Linked DNA regions of Rattus norvegicus. The protein of the gene in region 6 interacts with the protein of the main gene of each other region in a biochemical or structural test. Links are inferred from orthologs where the notes say so. Each region holds a gene or a part of one and is shown on either strand. Other genes may lie near its edges. The genes, in order: Map3k14, Nfkb1, Nfkbib, Map3k1, Crebbp, Chuk and Cops5.

What was found.
Region 1: of the proteins of Chuk (region 6) and Map3k14, one has a biochemical effect on the other in vitro, tested with the Homo sapiens proteins (5 studies listed by BioGRID and IntAct, with this or other methods). The link is inferred for Rattus norvegicus from reciprocal best matches to the Homo sapiens genes CHUK and MAP3K14.
Region 2: of the proteins of Chuk (region 6) and Nfkb1, one has a biochemical effect on the other in vitro, tested with the Homo sapiens proteins (3 studies listed by BioGRID and IntAct). The link is inferred for Rattus norvegicus from reciprocal best matches to the Homo sapiens genes CHUK and NFKB1.
Region 3: of the proteins of Chuk (region 6) and Nfkbib, one has a biochemical effect on the other in vitro, tested with the Homo sapiens proteins (2 studies listed by BioGRID). The link is inferred for Rattus norvegicus from reciprocal best matches to the Homo sapiens genes CHUK and NFKBIB.
Region 4: of the proteins of Chuk (region 6) and Map3k1, one has a biochemical effect on the other in vitro, tested with the Homo sapiens proteins (3 studies listed by BioGRID). The link is inferred for Rattus norvegicus from reciprocal best matches to the Homo sapiens genes CHUK and MAP3K1.
Region 5: the proteins of Chuk (region 6) and Crebbp form a complex in vitro, tested with the Homo sapiens proteins (2 studies listed by BioGRID, with this or other methods). The link is inferred for Rattus norvegicus from reciprocal best matches to the Homo sapiens genes CHUK and CREBBP.
Region 7: of the proteins of Chuk (region 6) and Cops5, one has a biochemical effect on the other in vitro, tested with the Homo sapiens proteins (2 studies listed by BioGRID). The link is inferred for Rattus norvegicus from reciprocal best matches to the Homo sapiens genes CHUK and COPS5.

The regions. Positions count from the first base shown.
Region 1 is NC_086028.1:88,712,793-88,717,038, reverse strand, and holds the start of Map3k14 (mitogen-activated protein kinase kinase kinase 14), read left to right. Parts: upstream 1-1,446; 5' UTR 1,447-1,512; exon of another isoform or gene 1,513-4,246.
Region 2 is NC_086020.1:226,704,463-226,707,962, forward strand, and holds part of Nfkb1 (nuclear factor NF-kappa-B p105 subunit), read right to left. Parts: intron 1,531-3,500; coding exon 1,416-1,530; intron 1-1,415.
Region 3 is NC_086019.1:93,178,588-93,182,585, reverse strand, and holds the start of Nfkbib (NF-kappa-B inhibitor beta), read left to right. Parts: upstream 1-1,198; 5' UTR 1,199-1,457; coding exon 1,458-1,636; intron 1,637-3,998. Other genes in the region: Sirt2 (NAD-dependent protein deacetylase sirtuin-2), read right to left, coding at 214-260, 1,014-1,029. UniProt on the Homo sapiens protein: Inhibits NF-kappa-B by complexing with and trapping it in the cytoplasm.
Region 4 is NC_086020.1:45,145,219-45,149,518, forward strand, and holds the start of Map3k1 (mitogen-activated protein kinase kinase kinase 1), read right to left. Parts: upstream 2,801-4,300; 5' UTR 2,665-2,800; exon of another isoform or gene 2,554-2,664; 5' UTR 2,054-2,553; coding exon 1,602-2,053; intron 1-1,601. UniProt on the Homo sapiens protein: Component of a protein kinase signal transduction cascade. Activates the ERK and JNK kinase pathways by phosphorylation of MAP2K1 and MAP2K4. May phosphorylate the MAPK8/JNK1 kinase.
Region 5 is NC_086028.1:11,932,840-11,936,339, reverse strand, and holds part of Crebbp (histone lysine acetyltransferase CREBBP), read right to left. Parts: intron 3,408-3,500; coding exon 3,219-3,407; intron 1,768-3,218; coding exon 1,354-1,767; intron 262-1,353; coding exon 82-261; intron 1-81. UniProt on the Homo sapiens protein: Acetylates histones, giving a specific tag for transcriptional activation. Mediates acetylation of histone H3 at 'Lys-18' and 'Lys-27' (H3K18ac and H3K27ac, respectively).
Region 6 is NC_086019.1:252,941,474-252,945,434, forward strand, and holds the start of Chuk (inhibitor of nuclear factor kappa-B kinase subunit alpha), read right to left. Parts: upstream 2,801-3,961; 5' UTR 2,703-2,800; coding exon 2,598-2,702; intron 2,548-2,597; exon of another isoform or gene 2,167-2,547; coding exon of another isoform or gene 2,140-2,166; intron 1-2,139.
Region 7 is NC_086023.1:13,985,328-13,988,827, reverse strand, and holds part of Cops5 (COP9 signalosome complex subunit 5), read right to left. Parts: intron 1,745-3,500; coding exon 1,633-1,744; intron 1-1,632. UniProt on the Homo sapiens protein: Probable protease subunit of the COP9 signalosome complex (CSN), a complex involved in various cellular and developmental processes.

The DNA.
Region 1 (4,246 bases), on a different chromosome or scaffold from region 6:
CTGAAGTATATAGACTCAGTTTGAGTCCCAGCCAGAAATAGTTCTAGAGACAACACTTGACCCGGTTGAGACTAAGGCAACATGGGCTATTAGCAACTGCAGGCTTTGCTCTAAGGTGTTTGTGGCCCAGGGGAGTGGGTGAGCCTCTCGGGTTGTTGTTTATTTGGTTTTGTTTCCACACAGAAGTTAGGCTGTGCAGCTCAGATTGGCCTCCTAAATGCAGGCCAGGTTGTGGGATTTCCATATAGTCTGAATGAATGGCTTTGCTTGGTGTCCGACGACAGAGGTCTGCTTGAACTGTCTCCAGAAAGAAGCTAGGTCTGCAAAGTGGTCACAAGCAGACAGTGGCCTGGCCCTGGATCAAACCTTTCCAGACAGGCTGTTCCTGGATCTGACCAGACAAGAATATGGCTTCCACTCCCATTGTACAGCCAGTCCCTGCATCTGCAGATAGGACTCCTAGCAGAGTCCCTAAGGTCGCAGCAGCACATCTTTCATTCTGGAAACATTCAAAATTACGCACTTGTAATTTCTTATTGCCAGTAGATAGAAGCTGGTGGTACATTAGCAAAGGAGGTCTATTAGCAAAGTTAGAAAAGGAAAAAAAGAGTCCATACATTCCCTACACTCCTTCCCACCCCCATTAAAAAGAGCACTGTAGACACCATGCTTTCAAAGTCCAGATCTCCCTGGCTCTGTAGTTTAGGATGGACCCTGTGCTCAGCACACACACCACGAAGCCTCTCCAGGGGGTGAACGGAGACTATATCACAAAATCTGCATGCTCCCTTAGAGCGGCATTTCAACACCCGGCCTGTGTTACGTAGGCCTTTGGTTCCCCACACTTCTCGAGGGCAGGCAAAGCAAACTCATCTTCACACACTTTACAGCACCGGGTTCACACTAAGTGCTCCAAAAAAGTGTTTCTAGACCCACCAGTCCTCCACCAAGCAACCACGCCCTCAAGCAGAATGGAGAGAAACCCAAGACTTTGGAGACAGAGCGCCCCGCCGTCTCCAAGGTAACCAAAGCCGAAGCTGGGAATGCCCACGCATGCGTAGAGTCGCCCTTCCTTCCCGTAACCTCAAAAAGAATGCAACCCGTAAAAGATTTGCCCCAAGTGGAGAGCGCATGCGTGATTCAACCAACACCCTGGCCTCCTTCGCCTACCGCCCGCCCATCCACCCAGCCGTCGGCTCTAGATGCCCTGGCCGGAAACAGTGCCCATTTGGGGGAGGCCTCGCTAGCCAATCGCTGCTGAGCAGTGGACGGCAAGCCGGCCGAAACAAGATGTCTTATTGGCTAACCTGTAGGAATGGGTGGGATCAAGGGTCGCGTTGGGGCCAAAGAAAGGAGGCGGGAAGCTAGCAAAGTCGCAGCCACGGGGGGAGGCGTGACCCGGGGCGGAGCTAGATGTGGGGGCGTGGTCGGGGAGGGGCAGCTGAGGCCCCGAGCGATCGCTGGCCAGCGAAGCGCCACACTCGCTTGTTTGAGGAGAACGGCGCTCCGCCGGTAGGTGACTGGGCAGAACCCCGAGACCTAAAGCGGGGCGCTGAGGGAGCGGGCAGGGAAGGGGCGCCTCCCAGGCCGGGGCCGGGTTGCAACCTGGCTGTCCACGAGGGATGGCTGGGATGGGTGGCCGGGTGTCTGCGGTCTAACACGCTCGCACGCTCAGCGCCATCAACGCCACGCTCGAAACGCCTTGCTCGCCTGGAACCTCCAGGCCGCGCACCCATGGGTCACACGCTTGCCCGGAACGCGCGCGGGTACTGTCTGTTTCCCTTTCCCCAACGTCCGTGCCATCAAGTTCAGCCGCCCTACTGCCAGACCCGGCTCCTGGGTGCCCCCCAAGAGAAGGTGATCGCTCCACTGTCCTAGGAAATGATATGCGCAGCCTTTCCCAGTGAACTGCTTGGGATCACTTGTTCTGAGAGGAACACTGCTCTGGGCACTCAGCAGTGCAGTGCTAGTCGCTGATGATATCCTCTCTCCTCGATGGTCCTTACCATTCTGTGTAATTCTGTGTTCTATTCGGGACTTTTGGGGTCTGTTTATATGTACTAGTCCTATCTTGGAAGCTCATCGCGGCTCTGGCAACTTTCAGCCACCTGTCACTAAGTAAAAAGAAACATTTGTTCGAGGCAGAGATTCCCACCTGCTTTGGAGCCTCATCGTGTTAACTTCAGAAAAGGTCCCCCCCACCCCATCTTTTGAGATTAAAAGATGGCTGTCAGCCCTAAAGGATGGATAGGGGTGGGCACGGGTTGTCAAGAGGATGAGTGGAGAAAAGTTTCAAGTATCAGTAGTGTCTTAGTGACAATTTGTCGTTGTTGTTGTTGTTAATTGGAGACAATGAACAATCATGGCTGGATTAGGGACGCTAAAAAAAAAAAATGAAATGAATGAGGGGTGGCACCATGACCAGTGGACTTTGGAACACTGGCACAGATCTAGAAACACAGTCTTTCAGAAAGATTAGAGGACTGTATCCTGACTTTAGTTTTACCTGTTTTTGCTTAATGAGTTTCCCACTTAGTGGTAGGTGTGGTGAGATGCATAGACTGTTGTCCCGTTGGTAAGTGAAATACCTGAATCAGGTGAGGGGATGACATACCTTGTCTGTGGCCTCAGAGCCAGGAGTGAGAGGGAGTTCTTCAGATCCCTGAATCAGAACAGTATAATGTAACTATGCTAGAGAAAAGAGGGGGGGAAGGTTTGGGCTGATCTTCTTGCTGTTAATGTAAGAGGATGCTTTGAAGACTCTTGACTTGCTTATGAAGTGCGTGTGGATTTCCTCTTGTATTTAAAGTGATGTCAAAGGCAATTCCTTTGGGTGGATGCCAGCTTTCTGAGTTTTTCAAACGCCTTTAAGACATCTTGAAAACTAGGCATGGTGACACACACCTGTATCCATCACTGGGAGGCTAGGACAAGGAGGATTTGCTGTGACTTAGAAGCCTATCAGGGCTTCAGAGCAAGGTCCTGTCTCAGAACACCAGAAAGAAAGAAAGAAGGAAAGAAAGAAAGAAAGAGAGAAAGAAAGAAAGAGAAGGAAGAGGACATCCTGATTTATTTGGAAGAGTGTGATAAATTTCTCAGAACAGCTCGTAAAAATAGTTAATATGTCTGACTTTAATTTTAGAAGTAAGTACCCAGCTTACATACCCAGAAATACATACCAGCAGTTTGTGAAGTCAAACAGTACTGTGCGATCAGGCTTCAGGTCATTTTCTGATTGTTTCTGGGTGGATAGAGCAGTTCTGAAGGGATTTTGTTTTTTGGGTTTGTCATTGTTGTCGTTGTCGTTGTTGTTGTTTTGTCTCTGGTGTCTGTTAGAGTTTGTGGGAGTGGCACCACAGACAGAGACCCTGCCAATGAACCTTCGCCTATCAAACAAAAATGCCTGGTTTGCCATTCACCCTTGGCAGATAAAGTGTGGTTCCTCATTTTGATTCTCCCGATGAACACTGATTCCTTTGTGATCTGCTTGGGGTTGAGAGGACAGGGCTCACCCTGATTGGTTGTCCAGACCTAGACAACCGTTGTGAGATTTTTGGTGAGTTAAAGGGTTCCTCCTTAGCTAGGGTCTGGTAGGAGACTGGACGGATGTGAAATAGATAAAAGCTTAAATCTAGGCTCGTTCCTTTAGAGCCATTTTCCCCTCTCTTTAAGAGTTTTGTAGTATCACTTGCCTGTGAAGTCACTTTGTCACTTTGTTTTTTTGTTTCTTTTTTTCCCCTTGTCTCAATGGACAGCACATGGGCTTCTTACAGGTGCTACTCCCCTGGGAAGACCTCACAGGCTAATCCTGATTGGCTTGACAGATTTTTCCCCCCTTAGGAGAAAAAAGAAAACTGAAAACCAAATTCAGACCCAGTAAAAGGTCAGCTCGCAGCACACGCGGGCTGACGGTTCCACCGATAGCACCCATCAACTAGATGCTTTTTTTTTTCCTGGCAAAAGGTTAAAATGCAACTAAAATTCTGCTTTCGTGATTAATAAGTCACTACCGCAGTTGTGTCTGATGCTTCCTGTTTGCCCCATTTTAGTCTTTCAGTTAAACCGGAGGCTTCTGAGCACCCTGGGCACTTCTGATGGCACCAGCATGAAGCGGGTGGGAAGAGGGGTGGTTCAGAGAGTGGATAAGTCAGCCCTCCCTGCACAGCAGGATCCCGAATAAGGGAAAGGAATGGGTTGAGTGTCTTCACGGGTAGGGTGAGCTGTTCGAGTGCGAACACTCTGTTCA
Region 2 (3,500 bases), on a different chromosome or scaffold from region 6:
AGTAAGAGCACCAGTGGAAGGGGAAGCCCTGGGTCCTGCTAAGACTGAACACCCAGTGAACTAGTCTGTTGGGGGGAGGGCGGCAATGGGGGGAGGGTTGGGAGGGGAACACCCATAAGGAAGGGGAGGGGGGAGGGGGATTTTGCCCGGAAACCGGGAAAGGGAATAACACTCGAAATGTATATAAGAAATACTCAAGTTAATAATAATAAAAAAAAATGGAGTTAGCGTGGTTGTATGGAAGGGTATGCGCTCAGTTCTGAGTGTAGTCCCAAGCACCAAAATGAACCAAAAAAAAAAAAAAAAAAAAAAAAAACCACCAAAAAAACCAAAACCAAAACCCATATAAACAAACAAACACCAAGTAAGAACTCCACTAGTTCTTGTCTCTTCTAAGCACAAATTATGCATGGTTATTGGCCACAGTTTTGCAATGAAAGCAACATAACCTGGAAGCAGAGGTCTCAGCACCATCCTGGCTGTGGGATCAGAAAGACACACTGGGCAAGTGAGTTCAGAGATACATAAAAGCCAACAAGAGGAAAAGACCAACAGACCCAGAAAAATGGAGGGGTAGGAGAGGGGGAGGGGTAGGAGAGTGGGTAGGGTAGAAAGGGGGGAGGGGTAGGAGAATGGGTGGGATAGGAAGGGTAGAGGGGTAGGAGAATGGGTGGGGTAGGAACGGGGGAGGGGGAAGAAGAGGAGGGGGTAGAGTAGGAGAGGAAGAGGGTTAGAAGGGGAGGGGTAGGAGACAGGGAGGGGTAGGAAGGGGGAGGGGCACAAAAGGGCTGGAGAGAATTAGAGGTGAGGGAGGAAGGAGGCCTCAGAGCAGGCCACAGTCCTATTTCTGCTCCTGGAGTTTCTGATTTGCTTTACCTCAACATCTTCATCTATCCTCAGTTGACTGTGCCACCATCTCTAGCTGGTTTCTCCTGGAGTTTTCCGTCCTCCCTACCTTCTCAAACCTGAGCTGGTTCCTCTTCCTGTTACAGCCTTTCACCTCTCCAGGAGCTGACCTCAGAGCCTTTCCTCCACACATACTGTAAATACCCTTCCTCGGACCTCAAAATTCTCACAAAGTACTGCGTTTTGAAACTTGATTTTCTTTTTGACTCTGTCTCTCCTGACAGCTGTGACTTTCCTCCCCTAGATTCTCCCTCAAAACTATCAACTCTGACTTCTAGATCTTAAAGTTTGCTTTTCTAGAAGATAGTGAATTTCCATGCAGCGTGATTGTCATCAAATCCATGATCCTACTCGTCTCTTTATAAAATAGCTTTCCCAGCTAAAGATACTTTTAAGATACCACTTATGAAAGGATGTTGTTTCCTTGTTTCCTGTTACCGATAACAGCACACACATGTATTACAAAGTAAACCTTTTCTCTTCTTGACTGTCTTGAGGTGGCTGCTTACCTGATACAGATCGTTTCTCATGTTGATGATGTCATCAGAGATCGAACCAGATGTCACTTCTAGCAGATCCCTCACGAGCTGAGCATGAAGGTGGATGATGGCTAAGTGTAGGACACTGGAATGAACACGGTGGTGATAATTAACTGGGGGCTCAACGAGTGACAGTAACAAAAAAGTCAAGAAACGACGGAACTGAAGACTGAATCTAAGTGTTACGCATAGCATTCTTTGGCCCTCCCATGTACTGATATGAGGTGACATGATTTCTCTGGAGGATTTCTCCCACTGCCCATTGCAGATTACTACATGCTGATTGTGCCCACCTGGCCGTGGGAGTGTTAATGTCTGACCAGACACGTGAAGTGCAAAGGCACCTGCCCTGTTGGTCGGAGACCAAATGGCCTTAAGCTCCAAGCCAGCTCTGTCTCTGTGACTCAGACTCAGGCAGCTCTCCCTGGTCTTTCCCTGACAGACCATGAACAAAGGCAATGCCCAGGCGTAGGGACAGCTCAGGAAAACTCAGTTGCTGAGTGAGCTCTGTTCCTCCGAAACAACGAGAAGTGACTTCTGTTTTTAAGCAAGATCTTGTTACTTATCCCTGAAGGATTTCATGTAGCAATACTTCTCAGGGAAGACCACAAAGTTGCTCTTTAGAGGATCCTGTGTCGGTGTTGACTACAAGTGAAGCGTGCGTGCTTTGATGAGAGGCACTGCAGCCACACCTCAGGCTTCAGTGTGGCTCCTGATGGAACCCTGACAGAAGTGAGGCTTGTGAGACGTGATGGAGAAGTGATGGAGACGTTCACACATCGAGTAAGAGGGCTTCAAAAGCTACTTCAACATTTCCACGTGCGGCTCAGAGCTTCACAGAAGAGCATCCCCTCCCCCTCAGATCCTCATACCCCTGGAGGAATTTCCCCAGTACCAGAGGGTTCTATATTTTTTCCTTATTGTATTTTCTATGATGACTAATGGTGACGGGGTCCAAATATGGCAAGCTGAATAAATATGAGAAACCAGGATATTTCCTTATCTACACTTCTGAGTGGGTCTTCTGTGTCTCCCAGGTCTCACACCCCTAGCCTCTCAGAGAGCCTGCTTGTTGAAGTCTTGGACGAGGCTCTGTGTATTGTCCTCACTTAGGCAATGCTGGCCACTGTCTCGGCTGCCCCATGGCCATCTAGTGTCCATACATGTATCCTTACGTCTTTCAGAAATCAGTGTTCCACTTCCTACCATGCTTGCCCTCATTACTCATGAGCTGAGCCAGTCCTTAAAGATGGCACCTGAGGTGCCGATGGGTGTGCGCCCTGGTTATCCGCTCTGTTTTGTGGTTATTTGCTATTGAATGCTAACGGGATGATTTCCCGCTAAAGGCGCCTTCTGCTATTCAGGGCTTTTTACAGAGAAGGTTGTCTGGGTTCCTCTTGTACTGTAGGACAAGGCCAGCGGTTATACCACATCCTTAGTTACACTGCAAGTGACGGGGACAAAGGTCTCTGTACGAAACCCCTGAGGTTGGCATCCTCCTAAAGCATTTTGTTTTTAAACTGAGACTTACCACGGCACTCCCAAATGCTGCCACAGAAAAGGACTCCTTTTCAGCGTTAATGCTATTTTAGGACCCCCTTAGATAAAGCACTTGAATCTCAAGACTGCTGTCTCTGGCTATTTTTATAGGCTTTTAGCTCATTTCAGAAGGCTCAATGGAAGGACTAAGAGAACACTTTAGGAAGGAGCCAGGTGCCTTTGCAAACGGAACCTCAGGAATAGAGAGCAGGCATGGCGTCTGGAATTTCAGACTCCCACGCAGCCTGGCCTGGAGCTGAGGCAGAGTCTGGTCCTCTCACACACTAGAGACCACAGAGAAGCAGCCAGGAGCTAGGGAAGAAAGGCATTGCCTCTTAGTTACTGTACTAATGTCTTTACCAGGCTCTCCCTTGGGTACACTGTGACAATAACGCTTCAGGGACTTGATGGGACTGTCAATAGTTTTCTCAACATTATTTTACACACAAGGCAAGGGTTTAAAATTAACATGCTCACACACTTGAGTCTTCTCGCCCAGGGAGGCAGCACACTGGA
Region 3 (3,998 bases), about 160 Mb from region 6:
GAAGGGAACCAGGGGTTGAGGCTATACATTTTCCTTGACAGTCCCCAGAAGCCGCCATTCTCCCAGGAGCTGTACTAATCCCCAGATGGGTTTAGGGATCAGGGCCATAAGCCAAGGGCCCTTGGGTAAAAGCCTTCCCTTGCACCTCCCCCAGTGCGGCATGTGGAACCACGTCCATTTCTCTCCTTCCCTCCACCCTTTTCCCCATCTCACCTGAGCCTCCTGCACCTTCCCTGCCTGGTTCTCCAGAGGGTCAGAGGCTGGGGAGGAGGGGGAGCAGACGTGGTTACAGTGGGGGGAAATAGTTAAGCAGATGAAGGGTTCACAGTGGTGGAGGCGACAATAGGACCCACCAACCTAATTATCCTGGAGTCATGGATGGTAGTAAAACTATTGGAGATGGGGAAAGGCATGTTTTAGAGTGGAGGAATGTGTGAGGAGGGGAAGGTTTGGGAGGAAAAAGCAGGTGAAACGGGACTGAAGGAAGGTTTCAGAGTTAAGCAGGATAAGGTAGCGAGTGCGAGCCAGGAGAATGAGGGAGGGCTAAGTTTTTCAAGAGATGTTAAGTAGGGATACTTCTGCTGAGAGTTGAGTGTGGGAGAGGAGATGCAGTGAAGGTGGGAGGTTTAGGAGAGGCACAAGAACTGAAGGAATGAGATAGAAAGGGGCCGCAGGGGTCCCCAAACATACTATAGTTGCCCTTAACAACAGGCAACCTTAGCAACCGGGATCGTGGTAACTTTGGTCCTTAGCAACGAGGGTCCTCAGCAACCAAAGTGCGAGAAACGCGATCATTCAAAACTTTGCAAATGGACCCTTAAATTTCACAATCCAGAAACCCACCAACCTAGCAATATCGACCACTTAGCAACAGCCCTCCGAATCCCACTCCCTTCAGGCAGCCTCTGTCTCCCACCCCACCGACCTGCCCGCGGGCCCCGGGGCCTGCAGCCCAAAGCCAGGCCCCGGCGCGGCCCGACCCTCCCACCCTCCCACCAGGGCCCCTAACTCACGGTCCGGCTCGGCCATGGGAACGGGGTGGGGGCTCTCGGGACTGTCACCGACTGCTCTGTCCCGTGACGGCAGCGGAAACAAGAAGGAGCCGAGAGAGGATAGAAAAATACAACTCCCGACAGGCAACGCGGTCCCGTAACCGCTTTCATACGGTGCTCCCCTCACGTTATCAAACTACAAATCCCAAAAGGCTTGGCGCCGGCGGCCATATTAATAAAGGGCGTCTGGAAAATCTGGGGAAACTCAGCGAGCGAATGTCCATCTCATTATTCTGATTGGTTCTGGTGCAGTACAGAGGCGGGGTGTGGCTATTTAACACAGTTTGATTGGGTATATGAGGGGGCGTGTTGGGGAATTCCCAATAGGGCGGAAGCGCTGGAGCTCTCGGCAGAACCCAGCGTCAGGCAGGCGACCGCAGGGGGCCACCCGAGGTGGCAGGGGCAATGGCCGGGGTCGCGTGCTTGGGGAAAACTGCAGACGCCGATGAATGGTGCGACAGTGGCCTGGGCTCTCTAGGTCCCGACGCAGCAGCTCCCGGAGGACCAGGTCTGGTCGCAGAGCTTAGCCCAGAGCTGTCTTGGGCGCCCTTAGTCTTTGGCTACGTCACTGAGGATGGGGACACGTGAGTAAACCTTAAATTACCAATTTACCCTAGGGATCTTACCTGAGTCTCCATTAGCCTATGATTTCTGTGGCTTCTTATCTTCTCGTTCCTAACTCTGATTTCTGATGCTGGACTTCCTGACCCATAACCACCAATCACTAAATTGTGAGACTAGTCCGTTTTCACTCACAGTCAAGTGTCTCAACTTTTCTGAACTCTTAAATTTGAGCTTACGATCCCCAAATCGGGTCTGAACCTTTCTGACCACTCTAGTTCCCACATCTTCTGACCTCTTGCTTCCAGATGTGGTCTTTGGTCTTTGGCTATTCTTGTATAAGCCAGATTTTGATTTCCAAAATTAATTCTTGACCCTGAGTCTACGACGCTGACACATCCAGCACTGACCCTGCAATTGAGAAACCGAGCTACTGGGTGTCATGGGCCTCACAGAAGTTGGGAGGCAAAGGCAGGTTGATCTCTGTGAGTTTGGGGCCACCTGATTGAGATGCCGGCCAGCCAGAGCTACATAAAATTTAGAAGCTCGATTCTATGAAGATGGATTCATCTGTTAGCCAAACGTCTCTCCCTAACTACCACCTTTCAATCCCTGGTTTTAGTTTAGCTGAATGTGGTGGTACACACTTGTCATCCCAGCTCTTAAGGGGCTGAGGCAGGAGGATTGCTAGTCTGAGGAGAGCCTGGGAAGACCGGTATCAAAAAGGAGGGATAAGGAAAAGGAGGAGAGGGAGCCTGGGGGGGGGGTGTGGAGCAGGAAATGTTGATTAGTAGATAAACTGGGGAGAAGGGATGGCTGTGGTGACAGTGTGTGTAAGGGAGTGTACCCGGGATTTTCTTGTCCTTTGTGCTCATTGCGTATACCCAGTGACTCAGTGCCTGACCCATGAGGGGAACCCAATAAACACTCATCTTAAAGAGCCAGGAGTAGTTTCCTTAATTTTCTAATTTTTCACTTTCTACTTTATTGGCCCTTGTTCCTTTATTGTTTCCCTCTGGTTATTTAATTTTTGTAATTTCTTTATCCTTTTTTTTTTTTTTTTTGTTCTTTTTTTCGGAGCTGGGGACCGAACCCAGGGCCTTGCGCTTCCTAGGCAAGCGCTCTACCACTGAGCTAAATCCCCAACCCCCCTCTTTTTTTTTTTTTTTTTGTTTTGTTTTGTTTTGTTTTGCTTGTTTGTTTTTGACAGTCTTGTGTAGCCCATGCTAGCCTTCAGGTTGTAGCTGAGGATGGCTTTGAACTTTTCATTCTCCTGTGTCCACCTCCCAAGTGTGTATCACTACATCCAGCTCAGGGATGTGCGTGTGTGTGTGTGTGTGTGTGTGTGTGTGTGTGTGTGTGTGTGTGTTCGCACTAACCACATAGGCTAGACTAGCTGGCCTGAGAGAACCTTGTCTCTTGCTCCCCACCCTCCTCCTCCTCTTTGAGACAGGGTGGCTGACCTGGAACTCACTATGTAGACCAGACTGGCCTCAAACTCATAAAGATCCATCTGCCTCTATGTCCTGAGTGCTGGGACCAAAGGTGTGCGCCTCTGTGCTCTACTCCAGGGATCTCCTAGTGTTAGGATTATAAATACTTACAACCACACCCAGCTTTTTTTTATGTGGGTTCTGAACTAAGGTCACTGTGCTTTACTTACAAAATAGTTCCCCAGCCACCCACTCCACCCCCTTTTTCGTCAGTGTCTTACTATGTAGCCCAGGCTAGCCTTGAACACTACTGTAAAAAATAATAAAAATAATTGATTCAGCCATTTAGCTCCCAACAAGGACTCTGGCACTAATTATTCATTAATAAATGCCTTGGCTACAAGCTTTGGCTCATTCCCTGGCTAACTTATAACCTATTTAACGCATTCAAACTATCCTATGTCTTCCACGTGGTTACCTTTCCTGCAGTCTCCAGCCTGCCTCTTCCTTAGCGTCGTCTTTCTCAGTGTCTCAGTGACCCCTCCAGTGCCTCTCCCTGCATCTCCCTTTTTTCCTCACCATTTCCCAGAATTCTCTCTCTCTTCCTGGCAGTGTCCCACCTGTTTCCTCCCTCAGCTCATTGGCCATAGGCTTTTTTTTATCGACAGGTGTTGCCTTTAAGAAATTCTGTCCACACTATGAAACTTGTCTTTGGTTTATTTTATTTTATTTGTTTTTTGTTGTTGTTGTTTTTTGTTTTTGTTTTTGTTTTGAGATAGGGTTTCTCTGTGTAGCCCAGACTGTCCCAGAACTCTTTCTGCAGACCAAACTGGCCTTGAACTCAGAGATACATTTGCCATTACCTTCCAAATAATTTACTTTATGCGTATGACTGTTTTACCTGTGTACATGTATGTGGACTGTGTTTGTGCTTGTTGGAGCCCCTGGAACT
Region 4 (4,300 bases), on a different chromosome or scaffold from region 6:
CAACCTTTACAATTATAAACCCTCCTTAAGGAGAGGAAAGAGAATGCGAAAATTAAGCACAGATTACTCAGGTATTCAATCCCTCCTGCCCTCACCTTCATCCTCCAATTTCGAGTCTACAGGGAACACTAAAGTTCTATATATCACTTTTGCAGTTGTTGCTCTCATGCTATATTCATAGGCCATAACATTGACTTTGTAAATGCTGAAGTGCGGCCAGCTGTATTACCATATAGGAAAAAAAAATCAGGTCTCACAAAACTAGAGAAAATTAATTCCTCCAAGTTTAAGTTAGTGTTTTTTGCTTCCGTCTGCAGTTGATCTGTAGTAAGAGTTGCCACCTAGGAATTATTCTGGTAATGTTTTAATCTAATCTGCACAAAAACAGGAAACCCTAGAGGAAGATACGTGTACAAGTGCACACAGAAAGCTGCAGTAGGGCTGGCTGCTGCCTACCTTCCTCCCCATTCTGCCAGAGCCCAGGAGTCAGCACACTTTTTACTACGGGGGGGTGGGGGGAGGAAAAACGACCTCCAAGTAATAAACGGACCGTGATTTTAAACAAGCCAGAGCACCAAAGGGGGTCAAATTACTTTAGATAACTAACCGAAACCAAGGATTCCTACTGTCAGATTCGACACACAATAAAACACTCTCCACCCATAGTAAACGTCAAGAAATTCTACGGGGCCACCGGGTGACTATCACGAAAACATATCCAGCAACTTCACACACCCAACAAGATTTTATGCTTTTGTGTATTTTCATCAGAATTTTTAAAAGTATCATATACTTAAAAAGAATTTCCTCTAACAGAAAATTTTCCAGTAGCCAAAAAAGGGCGAGGCCAAAGAGCCGTTGGTGTAAACTATCTTACGCACATCCTACTTCTGGTGCACCGGAAGACCCCTGCGAGCGAAGCCGCAGCCCCGCACCGTCCCTGTCCCCGCCACGCAGCGGGGCTGCGGGGCGCAGTCCCCACAGCTTTGAAGCTGAATGGCTGACACATCCGGTCCTGGATCCTACAGCATTCCGCCAAACGCTAACTTCAAAGGCGGATTCAAACTCCCAGCGCTCTAGCCTCCGAGGTGCGGTAGGAATTCCCAGGGACACGCAGTGAGGGAAGCCACGGAGTCCCCGCAGACCCGGCGGTCCAGCGAGCCCGCAGCGTCTGCCCGCGTCGCTTTGACAGGCGTTCCCCGCAGTCCCCGGAATCCCCCGGCCGCCTGGGGAGCGTCGCATAAGCCCGGCCCGGTACCTGCGGGCGGGCACGCGTCCCCGTGGGGCCCAGGGGCTCTATCCTGTCACAGGGCGCAGACCCACCGCCGTCACCTCCGCCCTCCGGGCTCCCCACTCACAGCGCGCCGTGGGGGCTCTCAGGACCCGGCCCCGGGAGCCCCGCACGTCCGCGGTTTGCACGCCTGTCACATGTCCGCAAACAATAACAAACTCTCCCGCACGCTCCCGTCCTGTCCCCACGCCGTCCCGGGCGCCGCCCGACCTTCAGGGCTCGGGGGCGCGGGGCCCCACGAGCGGAGCCCCGGGAGCCGCGCTCCGTCCTCGCTTCATTCATTGCCCGCCCGGCCCGGCCCGCCGCTCACCCGGAGGGGGCCGCTGCAGAGGGCGGCTCGGCCCCCGCGGGGCTCCGGGCGCCGCTGTCCCGCGCGGCCGCCAGCTCGGCAGAGTGGGAGCCGCAGCGACTCGCTGCTCCCGGGGGTGGCGGTCCCGCCGCAGGCTGGAAGCCACTCGCTCCTGCAGCCGCGTCCGCGGGCTCCGGCGACGGGGAAGTAGATGGGCAGGGCGGCGAGGCGGTGAGGAAGAGCGGCTGCTCCGGCAGCTGGTCCAGCTCCACACTCCTCACTTTGCGCAGCTGCTGCCGCCGCCAGTCCGCGCGCTCGCGGCCCGCGCTGCCAGTCTCCCGCAGCAGCCCCGCGCCCGCTGCGGGCGCGCCGCTTCCCTGGAGAGCTCCGCCGCCGCCGCCCGCCTCGGGGCTCGCCGCCGCGGCGCCCGGGAATCCCGACGACGAGGCGCGATCGCCCGCCGCCGCCGCCATTTTCTCTCGCGGGCTACATTCGCTCGTGCCTGCGGGGGAGGGAGGGGGCGGGGAGAGCGCGGGGGGCGGGCGGAGCGGCGGGCGCGCGCGCTGCGCCGAGTGCGCGGGCGCGAGCGGGAGCGGGGCCGCGTCTCCTGTCTCGGGAGCACGGAGCGGCGGGCGCGCGGCGCAGGTGGGAGGGCAGGGGCTCTGCTGGGGCCGCGCGGGGCGCTGTGCGCTGCACCCGGGCAGCTGCCAGGTAGTACGGGGCGGGGCAGCGGCTCGGCCGGAGCTCGTCCACCCTTGAGCAAGCAGTAATTGGGGCGTGAGTCCCTGGTGCTGGAAGGGGACGCAAGCCGGAGGACTCACGGTCGGTCACTTCACGCTCTCAGTAGCGGGCGCTGGGGGCCCGGCGCGCACCAGCCTGGCCCGCGCCCGAAGCGCAGGTGGCGCCCGGGACTGTCGCCTGCTGCAGACAGACGCGAAGCCTTCTCTTTGGAAAGCAGACCTCTTGTCCCGCCCTGGTGTCACAAATAACACTACTTAAGATTTCCTGTGCTACCTTGTGCACATCTGAGGCCGCTGGTTTGGGACACCCTCCCTCCTCCCACCGGCTATGCAAAAGGACCAACCCGGGTGCTCTGCCAGAGGTTACTCCCCCGTCTTGGAAAGGCAGCCTCCGACCGAAAGCGGGAGAGCACGTCTAGGGAAAGAGCCAGCGCTCTGCCAGGAAGCGCTGGATCTTGCCATCTTCTACCAGGTCTCCCCACCCCCCTCAGATGCTCCCAGCTGCACGTCCCTCTTCCTGGCAGTCAGGTGACAGGCCGGGTTCCTGGGTCCCCCCTTCCCCCACCGCCGCCGCTCCCAGGTTGTCCTATGTAGCGTCCCTCGCCTCTCTCCTGCCTGGGAGTCTTTTTAGAAAAGGTGCTGGGGATAGAGAAGCTGTAAATATATGGGAATTCCCACCCCACCCCTTTTCAACGGGATGGAGCTGCCATGTCGCCCGTATCTCCCCCTCCTCTGCTACTTCTTTTCCTCCGCCTATTTGTCTAGACTAGGCAATCTTTCAGAACCCCGGACCTCTAGATTTAATTTTTGAAACATTAAGACATGAGGCGTGGGGGAGGGGTAAGAAGGGTTTTCGTCTTACAGTAAAAGGAGAGATCTCGCCTGCATTTAAACAAAAGCCTGAACTATCTCAAAATAATTCATTTAACGTCTCCAAAGTAGATCTAATGAAGCCCTCCTTAGGTGTGTAATGTCAGCTGGAGAGCAAGAAAGGGGTTTTTATTTTTTTTTAAAGGATCCTGACTTCAATGTAAGCTCCGTGTTATGCTGAGTGCTACAACATCTGGCAGGCTATAGTTTTTGATGGTTACATTAAAAGGTACACATTTTGAAAGTTTAGATTAGTCTGTTCAAGATTTGGGTCTCCATTTAGGCTATAATTATATGCTCTTTTAATAGTAGACAAGCGTAACATCCAAACCAAACAGTAGTTATTTCCTAGGTCTTCCTAGATTGCCACACCCACCAAATTCTAAATCGAAAAGGATTAGCTTTTCTGGTTTCTACTGAGATCTAAAATAAACTTTAAATTGGCACACTCATAGTTAGGTACCTGTAAGTGAGAAAAGCCACTGCAGACCCTTCTTAGCCTTTGTCTCTATCTTTGGACCAGCTTTGGAAGTTTGGCCTGAATAATAAAGTTTTTTTTTTTTTAAAGGAAATTCCAGCAAAAAGTGACTTTTGCCTCTTTATTTGTATGGTGTTTGTTTGAAAATGAGGGTGGGCATCAAATGAAGCACAGCTGACTAACTGCCGTGCTCTGGCCTCCACATACCGCATCAGTCTATGAAGACTATTAAGACCTTTTGAATCGCATTTCCTTTTGTCTTTTATGGACATAATTCTGCTGTCATTATGCTCCTATACACAGACACACAGTTTTCTTTCAGAGATAAATAATCAAAGGGCCCAATCGACTAAGGAAGTCAGCTCCCTGCTATATACATCCATATAAAGTCTCCTTTGAAAGCAGTTAACTGGATAGGTCCTACCCAACTTTGTGAGTCGTAGGTATGGTTAAGTGGGCCCCTCCCCATCGACACACACCCACCCCACCCCACCCCACCTCCACCTGGATCCTGGAGCTCTTTGGGTCCTCTGTTGTATTTCTGCAGAAGCACATGCCAAATGGCAGGCTGCTGTAGGCTCCGCCTGCCTTAAAGTGATTCCATTTCCCCTCTTTTCTCCGCAGGTATGGTT
Region 5 (3,500 bases), on a different chromosome or scaffold from region 6:
AACACCATCCTAGGTCCTGAGGACATACGGTAAAGCTGCCACACACAGCCATGCACTAAGGCTGAGGGAGGGAGCATCTACCTCAGAGCGGGGTTCCCCCTTGGATTCAGCAGGATCAGGTTCAGCATCATCTGTCTGCACCTCTGTCTTCATTTCCAGCATGGGCACATCAGGTCCTGGCTGCTGGGAACTGGTTTCAGCACTGGTCACAGAGGAGGGAGTAGGGACTCTATTATCAATGCTGGCTGCTGCCTGAGAAAGCTGCAAAGAAATCAAAATCATTCACCTCTGTAAAGCAGATAACACAAATGTTCCTCCAACTCTTGTACCTCCAAGCTCAGTCTTCTGTTTAGTATTTCTCCTTACAACCTAAGTACTTAGTATGACCACTAAAGGGCAGAAGTACTTTTCTAAGTTATAGTCTCTCTGCTTTCTGACTGGATTATTTTACCATTATTTTCTTCACTAACATTCCTACTTATGGAGAAAGGCAAACCCTTAAGTATTTACAGGGAGGTTGGGGACTAATGGCCTATATGAAGCATGTCTCACAGGACAGTGATGGCAGTGGAGTAAGCAAACACCCCACTCCATTACAGGCTTTACCCTATGAAGCACTACAGAAACTAATAAAGAAAGATAAAGCTCTGGTAAGAGGTAAGAGTAAGCACACGCCCTTATGGAGAAACCAACAGTAATGTCATCTTTCCAACTGTTGCATGATTAATTTTGTCATTCTACAAATAGCTTAAATATCTAAGAATTAATACAAACCCGGGAGGAGGGGATCTGTTGTTTCATTATGAATAAAAAAAGGCATGTATTCTCAAACAAGGTTGATTAGCCAAGACCTTTATAGTTTGGAGCATAGCATGTCTACTAAACCCACAAAAGCACAAAAGCAGTCAAACCTGGACGGTAATTACTCTAGAACAGAAAACAGGTAAAATAATGGTAGTGCATACAGTTCAATGTGTGACATACCGAGGACTATTGATTTCTATAAACCACTTTAACCAAGGCAAACTATAAGCCATACCTTTAGGGACAATAGAGGAACAATTCAGTTTACTGCAATTTCAGACACACACACACACACACACACACACACACACACACACACTCTCTCTCTCTCTCTCTCTCTCTCTCTCTCTCTCTCTCTCTCTCTCTCTCACTTTTTGGCACCAGAGCAATTTGCTATAGCATCCCAACAGACAGAATAGTCCTTTTTTTAAAAGATGGCATCTTACTTTTCTAGCTAGATATGCCTGCTTGTGCACGAGTGCTCGACACATCATTCTTATGGTAAGGTGCCCTGTATGAGTTTAGCTTGATAATGACGAAGAGGCTCACCGGTGTGCCAGGAGGCTGAGTATGCACAGGCGTTGGTTGCTGCTGTGATGACTGAGGAGTGGCCACAGATGGTGGCTGCACTGGAGTCTGAGGCTGTGGGGTCACCTGAGCCTGTGCTGCTGCCTGCACTGTTGGGGTGCTCTGTGTTTGGGCAGCACTGGGCACTGAGCCAGGAGTTGGGGTAGGAGTCTGCCCAGATGACACAGGAGTGGATGGCTGAGTGGGAGCTGCTGGCTGGGGAGGGGTCATCCCTGGTGGTGTCGGATGCTGGAGAGAGGGCATGCCAGCAGCTGTGGAAGCAGGAGGTGGAGTCGGGTGCAAAGGTGACTGTGTCACTGGTGGGCAAGGAAGCTGGCTGGTCTGGGGCGCCAGCATGTTCAGAGGGTTAGGAAGTGTACCTCCAGGCACCTGGCCCTAAAAGAAATAATAAGAATATGTAAAACTTACTTTACCCAATTGAAACCATAAGGGACTTACGGAAAAAAAAATTAGAAAAATGTAATTCTAGTTTCTTAATTAGTTCTGGTAGTTTCATGAGGATAGTACATTTGCAAAACTTCAGACTAACCATTTATAGCATGCACCACACCATGTAATAATAAGCACTAAAATGCTTCTATACTCTGATTTGTATAACGTCAATATCTGATTACAATATTCATGGCTTAGACACATTTACTTAGTTTACCGACTTCATGTTTTGTAACATCTACTTAGACAACAGAAAAAGGGCTTTTTTTTTTTTTTAAAATAAGTTGAGATACTAGAACACTGGGGAGACCCCTGACTTAAAAAAAAAAAAAAAAGAGAGAGAGAGAGAGAGAGAGAGAATCAAAATTACCATTCCAGAGACAAGTTTGGCCTAGGGACTTTGGTCCAGTTCTACAGGATGACAACAACAACCAGATTACAAGTTACATGGTGTGTGTAACTACTTATACACTTTGAGAGCAGAGTTAAACAGTTAAGACTAGGACTATGGCCCTGAGAACCAGCTGTTGAACAGAAAAGGTTTACTGCTGGTCATTGTGGCATATGGCTAAGATACAAAGAGTGTAGCCTGGGCTACGTAACATGGAGAGACTCTGGAAAGAGAAGAAAGTTGGTTTCCTGATCTCTGTTCTGAAGAAATGAGATAGAGAAAATTAATCATTACTGAGCAAGCCTAACATATTCAACAACTCATTCAGCATTAGCTAAATTCTTAAAAGGACACAATTTTTTTTTATTTTGAGAAAAGATTTAGCCTACTTTGTATGCAGCTGACATTTGATATACTACAGTTAACCAAAGTGGGAGAAAGCAGTAAAATGGGTGGGAAAGTCGGCTGTAACTAAATAACTGAGGCATGCTCAGGAGAAGAGTGCTACTCCAATGAGTCTGCTAGCCTTGACCCCCAACACACATAGTCAGAGAGACAGACAGACAGACAGACGCGCGCGCGCGCACACACACACACACACACACACACACACACACACACACACTGAAATCCAAGAAACCAAGTCACTAAAAGAGGATCCACCCTTCAAGTTCTAGTACTTCTCAGGATGCCGTTAATCTTAGATTTCTAAAACACACAAACAGCAACCAAAATCCAAAGATAAAAAATATAAAGAAAATAAAACAAATGAACAAACAAAAACAAAAGACCAACCAACCAACCAAAAACCCCACAACCACAACCCATTTTACTTTTGTGTGAAGTTCACCTAGAAGGATTGAGAATTAAAAATTACGGAGCAAAATGGGAAATGGAGATATATACTCTAGAATTCTAGTTCCCATAAAATAAGACAGGAACCTGTCAACAGAGGCTGAGGCTACGTAAATACTAGCTGACCAGGCTCCCACACTGAATGTACCTGTGAAACACCTGCCTGGGTTGCGGGCTGCCCCATGCCTACACTGTTCACACTCATTGCCCCACTGGATGATGGAAACTGGTTCTGTGGCAGAAACTGGTTCTGAGTAGGTGCCTGGGCCATAATGTTGTTGGCATGGGTGCCCATCATATTGGGAGGCTGAGGCATCCGGGAAGGAGAAATGGCCATCTATAAGACAAGAATCAGAAGTGTTAGGCTGGAGTCTTCAAGAGATAACGCAGTGCTATGGAGATCCAAAGCCTTACAAATAAAGTATACTTT
Region 6 (3,961 bases):
CATAGTAATAAAATCCTAACACATTAGGTATGGTAATATGAATCTACTGGTTCTGGTATTTTGAAAAATGAGGCAGGAATAAAGTTTGAAAACACAAATTTCTTTACTTTTTGGAGCTTTTAAATTGGATTCCTAATTTGAATCATGATTCTCCAAGCAAAAGGACTAGTGCACGCAACATTATCAATGTGTGTGGAAAAAGTGACGCTGTTGCTCAATATGTAGATTGCAGCCTCTAGGACCTCCAGAGAATCCTGACGTCAGTCGAAGCTCGGGTCCATTGCATTAAAGAGCACAGCACTTGCACAAAACTTAGATAAATCCTCTATCGGTATACGTTTAGTAGATGCTTCTCCTGCAATCCCAAGCCCCACCCTACCCACAATTATTTTCAATGTGTGGAAGGTTGAATCTGTAGTACTGAGGACAGAACCTAGGGCATGCATGTGACCACTAAGTTATATCTCTAGTCCATACATTTTGTTTTTTAAAGGTTCTTACTCTAATGGCCCATAGTGGCTTTGAACTGAAGGCAATCCTCCTGCCTCACTCTCCCACGGGTTCCTACCATGCCTTTCTATATTCTTTCTTTAATGGATTCCATGGAACTAGGTTTTTCAAATACCCCGAGGCAAAAGCCCTCTGATGTGGTGGTTTGAACAGGTCTGGCCTCCATAGATTGATGTGCATGAATGCCTGACCCACAGAAAGTGGCACTATTAAGAGGTATGGCCTCATGGGAGTGCCTGTGGCCTTGTTGGTGGAAGTGTGTCACTGTGGGAGTGGGCTTTGATGCTTCCTATCTCAAGCTGCATCCAATATGGAACATAGTCTCCTTCTGCAGCGTGAGGATCAACATGTTGGACTCTTGACTCCATGTCTGCCTGTATGTTGCTATGCTTCCCACAATGCGGCTAATGGACCAAACCTCTGAAACCAGTCCCAACTAAATGGTTTGCTTTATAAAATCTGCCTTGGTCATTATGTCTCTTCACAGCAATAAAACCCTATGACATCTTCCAGTGTCTAGGGTATCAAACTGTACTTATGTTTATTTCTGAAACACGGTCTATTATGTAACTGACACTGGCCTTGAGCACAATATGAAGACCACCTAGTTGGGTCTCAGCTCCAAATCCTCTTGCCTCAGAGCCCTTGGTACTAGGATTACAAGCATATGCCACCATGCCTACCTGTTCCGATGCCCATCTCTCTCTGAAATGGAAAGCTCCTTCAGGGTAAAAATAATATTCTTGTTGATTTGAGCACCATCAATGCCCGATAAAGCAATCAACTAAATCATTTCATGTCCTTCTTCCTGTCCTCAAAGGTATATATGAAATACTGGAACTATTTCTACCAGCTGAGTATACCAACCCTGGTAGGCCCAATCTTAAGGTATTACTAACATGTCTGTACTTGGCTTATTGTTTTTCTAATTAAAACGTATCCCTTGTGTATGATGCTCCAGAACACCATTTTTATTTTACTGTCCCTTTTGTAAACGTACAATTGATGGGGGTTATGATAACATGACAGTGGAGACCTATCAACCGACAATTACAGTGCCTACCTAGTACTTGCTAAGTTTCTAATGACATCTGACGTAACTCTCAAAGAGACCCAGAATGTATGTATACTCTTCTAAATATTTTACAGTCAACAAAAATCCTACACTGCAATGATTAGTATTCAAGGTCTATTCCCTACATCCTTCAGGAAAGCAAAAACCGTCAATAATAACGTGCTGGTTTGTACTGATAGGATTTTTCTGGAGAAAAGATGCATAATTTTTATTGACTTATCAAAAGACCTGTGACTCAGACATGATTAACTATGGCTGAGGATGAAACCCAATGGTCAACCATTTGCCTAGCATGTGCAAGGTCCTGTGTTCCACCCCCAGCATTAACAACAACACACTATCGTAAGTAAAGTGACTGTTGGTTTGAAAATCCTTTAAATGCACGAGTGACTGCCGTTGCAATGGTTACATGTTTTTCGATAAATCAAATTTCCTGAGCCTGACATTAGCTGTCTTCTAGAGAACAAATCCCTCACCTTTCAGTCTATTTCCTTTCCTCTGAAGCAAGGATCATTTTCATCGCCTTACTTACCTTCACCCACCCTGGTCTTTACCTGAAACGCTCCAATTCCAAAGTCCATCAATGTTTCCAAAGGTTCAACTCTGGACACTAGAAAGGTTCCTCGTCTATGCCAGTCTCCAGTGGATCACACCGCTCCCGAGCGAGTGTGAGCAGGCACCCGGCGACAGACAGACAGACAGACACACACACACACAGGCACACACAACACATAGACACAAACACACGCACGCTCGGGCACTCGACATGCACACAGACTCATCACCACACACAGTTGCGACAGCTCCCTGTCACTCACTGCCCAGGGACCTCAGACACACCTGGAACACGGCCACCCAGGCTCACAAGCACAGTATCACCGGCGCTCGCTCACTGCCCTGGCCCCAGCACTGCCCAGGGGCTAGACCACCTCCCCTTCCACCTTGACTGACAGCCCGTGTTCCAGGGACGCCCAGACAGACCCGGCGTCACTGCTCCCGCCTCCCGCCTCACCCGGTGCTGGTACAGACTGACGTTCCCGAAGCCGCCGGTGCCAAGCCTCTCCCGCATCTCCCAGGGGCCGCCGGCGCCAGGCCGCAGCCCCGGGGGCCGCTCCATGGGGCGGGAGCGCCAGCCGCCTCAGGCACTGCCACCAGTCCGAGGCCGGTTCCGGGCCGCCGAGGCTTGCGAGTCCTCCTTCTCGCGAGACTGCGTCACTTCCGCTAGCTTCCGCAAGCAAAGTCCCGCCCCGTGCGTCTCGAGTCACACTGGGATTGGTGCATACGAGTAGGCTGGGCACGAGCGGATTCCTATTCTGTTTTAAGTGCCCGGGCAACTTCCAGGCTGCGAGGACTATGGAGCGTGCTGTTTTTATTTTTTGTTTAGATATTTTAATTGGTTCTTTGAGGGTTTCATACAACGTGTTCTTATTTGAAAATAGATCTCTCTCCAAACCCTAAACTCCGCATTGTCCCTACCTTGCAAACATTTCATCTTTTTGAGAGTCCTGCCCTCTGCCCCTGGAATCCTACCACACTCGCTGGTCGGCACCGGTTAAGGCCTCCGTAAATGTGAAAGGAAACTGCGCTAACCGGCCTGTTGATTCATTAGCCTTCTAAGTCAGAGTCTCTCCTATAATTCCAAACCACCCAAGGATGTGACGTTATTCCTGAGTGAAAAACTCTTCCGGACTTTGTGAGTTTTCCTACCGACCTTACTGCTTATCAGCCTTGTTCTTTCAGATTTGCCAGGGAAGTGGTTCTGGATTGGAATTGATTCTGAAGTGGTGCCACATGACTGCAAAGACAAGCTTGGGGGAAGTCTCGGTCCGATAAGGCATAATACTTCTGAGTGGTGGGTTGCACAGGGAACGTCAACCCGCCTAGCCTTTTGAGTGGGTTATCCGCTTCTCTAGGTGTCTTGTTCTGAGACAGGATCTCAATACAGTCCAGCCTGGCCTAGAACTTGTTATTCCTCCATCTTTCTGAGAGTGGGATTACAGGCTTGTAGCACCCCACTGGGCTGAAGTCAAGGATGCTCATTGTCAGCATGCAATTCGATGTTGTGCATCACTAATAGTGAGTTGTATTCGATAAGCTGGTTTCTATTCTTTTCATGTCTTCTGTGGAATTGGAATATCGGACTTGAAGGTAATTGAAATTAGCCTCTGAGAGAACATCTCTAGAGGAGAGGAGACAGTCTAACAATATGAAGCCTCATTTGCAGTGTATGACAGAGATAGGCGTGAAAGGCATGCCCCATCTCCACAGATGGGATATAGATTCATAATAGTTTCATAAGAAGAGAGACGATGAAAACTCCAGCCAAGATAATGTTGACTGGGTTAATCAAGCTGGTTTCTACAGTCAGTTCACTTT
Region 7 (3,500 bases), on a different chromosome or scaffold from region 6:
GTGGGCCAGGCTGGCCTCAAGCTTATTGTGTGTTAAGGAAGACCTGGGACTCCCAATTCTCTTGACTCAACCTGTCAAGTCCCAAAGTCTAGCATTACAGACACGTGCCCAGCTTGCACTTTTGAATTCTGATACTTCTAATAAGCAGAACACAGACTGTGTCAAAATTATGTTTAAGACATTAGCAAACAGGCTCAAGTGAGTCTTTCTAAGGATATAATACACCAAACAAACCCCAGCCATCGTTATCAAGGCAGGTGCTTTCTCTGCCGTAGCGAGCCAAGCGATACACCTAGTGCCACGACCACCACTCTACACCATGCAAAGGCTCAGTCAGCCCTTAAAGCTGGATGTGGTGGCTCGTGCCTACAATCCCAGCACCAGAAGGTGGACACAGAACTTCAGGGCCATCCCTGGCTGTGTAGCAACTATAAGGCTAGTCTGGGACGAACCGCGTTCTGAAGGTCACAGAGGACTAGCAGTAGTCTCACATTTGTTTTCAAACCCAGTTTATTTCAAATTATACCGTATTACATGAAGTAGTCTTTTTTATCAGAGAGTAAAAACAACAAAACTGCTAACTTCTAAATATATACCTCTTAAATATATATTTAATCTTCAGATTTCTTCCCAGGACCTCTTTTCACATGTTCCTGAAATAGCTGTTTCTACTCCAGCCCTGCAGAGCAATGTGTCCCTTGCCTTGGCCCATAGCACGTCTTCAGGATGAGCCTGTGACCTAAGCAAAGCCTAGCAAACCCAGGAGACGCTGCCCGAGACCATGCGGGTGTGTGTGTGTCTTTTTTTGTCTGCCCAACACCATGAGATGATGCTAGAGCTGCCATCTGCTTTCATGTGCAGCCTGGATGTGAACCATGCAGAGCTCAGAGAAGCTCTGACTTCACAACATCTCCTGAATGAGAATCTAGACTTGCTTGAGGACCGTTTCAGTTTCCTTCATTTGGTATCCTGTTAGTTCTAACCAGACCTGTGGTTCTCAGCCTGCCTGATACCGTGATCCTTTCATACAGGTCTTCATGTCTTCACCCATACAATTACTTTATTGCTACTTCATAACTGTAACTTTGCTATTGTTATGAACTGTAATGTAAACATCTGATACGTGACTCCTGAGGGTCTTGACATATCAGGCTACAGTGTTATATGTGTCAGAGACCTACCTGTTCTGTTATCTGAGGCAACAGAAGCAGTATTTTTGATTTTCCTCTATGAACCTCTTTAAGGCACAAGCAGAACTCCCCCATTTGGATTGCCTAGCATCCTCATTTAGCTTGGACAGAACCCTGCTCCAGCCTTGAAGTTATGCCTTTCTGTGAATTGAGTTTCAAACACCAAACAGTTTTGGAAGCTTGACTACAATTGAAATTTGTCAGGTGTAATAGCACTTGTCTATGATCCCAACAATCAAGCACCTGAAGCCAGGGGCCAGTAAGATGGCTCAGTGTGTGAAGGAGCTTGCTGCTAAGCCTCACAACCTGAGTCTGATCCCTGGGGCCCACATACAAGGGGAGAACTGACAGTGCTGGGTTGTCCTTCATGTTTCAGTTGAGCATGCATCAACTTGGGCTTCAGAGTAAAACAAAATTCAAAGGAAACAAGTCCAGTACTTACGGTAAGCAAGCTAGAGGAACTCAGGGTGTTCACCCAGTATTTATTCCACAAGAGCTCAAGTAGTTTACGATCCAAAGAGGATTTGAAATATGAGACTTCTAAGGCATAATATCTACAAAACAAGAGCACACATTTGGCAGGTGAAAAAAAATATACAGTTATATTGGATAGAAATTTTGGCTACACTTACGTAAAATTATATTTTATAGTCGTACAGTTGAACAACAGCTAAATATAGTGTTTCCTCTGTCTTTAGTTGGTACAGCTCTAAATCTGTCTACTAGCCTTTCTTATTTATTTTTTTAAAAGACTTATTTATTTATTTTATGTATGTGAGCACACTGTAGCTGTCCTCAGACACATCAGAAGAGAGCAACGGATCCCATTACAGATGGTTGTGAGCCACCATGTGGTTGCTGGGAATTGAACTTAGGACCTGTGGAAGAGCAGTCAGTGCTCTGAACTGCTGAGCCATCTCTCCAGCCCAGCCTTTCTTATTTTATATACAGTTTTTTTTTTTCCTTTTGCAGTGCCCCAAAATTTCTAAGACGCTAGTAGCAATTGGAATTCCTAAATGATGTGTTATTGAGCTCTCTCATTCTAACAACAGGCTGAGCTGAATGAGCTCCCTTAGAGCAGCTCTAGGGTTTCCAACCTCTGTGAAAACTCTAGAAACGACACACAGATCTCCCACGGCTTCCCTTCTCTAGTGTAGCCTGGGTGCTTTTTAAAAAGCACCTTAAAGTAGTTCCGAAGGTACCTAGAAGAATTTCTACTGCTTTGAAAGGTAGTTCGTTTATAATACTGAGAACTAAGGGGAATTTAGTTAAACATCTAAAAACCTATTATTATTTCTATTGAAAAACAGTCCTGGCTGGCCTAGAACTTATTGCATAGAGCAGGCTGGCCTCAAACATACAGGGAACTCCCCTACTTTTGCCTCCCAATGTGTGTGACTGTGACCGACTTTATTTTTATTTTTTCAATGAGTATTTAATTATCTTAGCTGCTTGTAAACCAATGGATAATGGATATAAGGAAACACAAGAACATTCCTTACTTAGAAACTCATTCAGATCAAAGTTAAATATGATAAAATATATTCAGTAATAGTGACTGATGCTACAGTGTACATATAAAAGAGCTACCCACCCCTATAATAGAGATAACAAGTTCTTAAGAAAAGAACTCAACTGGTCATTTGGAGCTCAAATTGTCTGAGAAGCCCTAATATGATTGTGATGGCTTACATATGTTTGGCCCAGGGAGTGGCACTATTAGAAGGTGTGGCATGGTTGTAGGAAGTATGTCACTGTGGGGTGGGTGGGCTTGCAAACGCTCCTCCTAGCTGCCTGAGGATGCGTAATCTGTTCCTGGTTTCCTTCAAGTGAAGATGTAGAATTTAGCTCCTCCTGCACCATCCCTGCCTGAACACTGCCATGCTCCCGCCTCGATGATAAATGACTGAACCTCTGAACATGTAAGCCAGCCCCAATTAAATGTTGTCCTTCATAAAACTTGCATTGGGGGGTTGGGGATTTAGCTCAGTGGTAGAGCGCTTGCCTAGCAAGCGCAAGGCCCTGGGTTCAGTCCCCAGCTCCGAAAAAAAAAAAGAAAAAGAAAAAGAAAAAAAAAAAAACTTGCATTGGTCATGGTGTCTGTTCACAGCAATAAGACCCTAACTAAGACAGAAGTTGGTACCAGGGACTGAGGTACTGCTGTGATAGGCCTGACCATGCTTTGGAAGAATGTGGATTTTGGACTTTGGATTTGGAAAGCAGAGGAATGCTTTAAAAGGGGCTTAATGGGCTATCTTACTAGGAATGTGGAAGTCTCTGTTACTGAGAGTGATTTGAATTGTGCAGGCC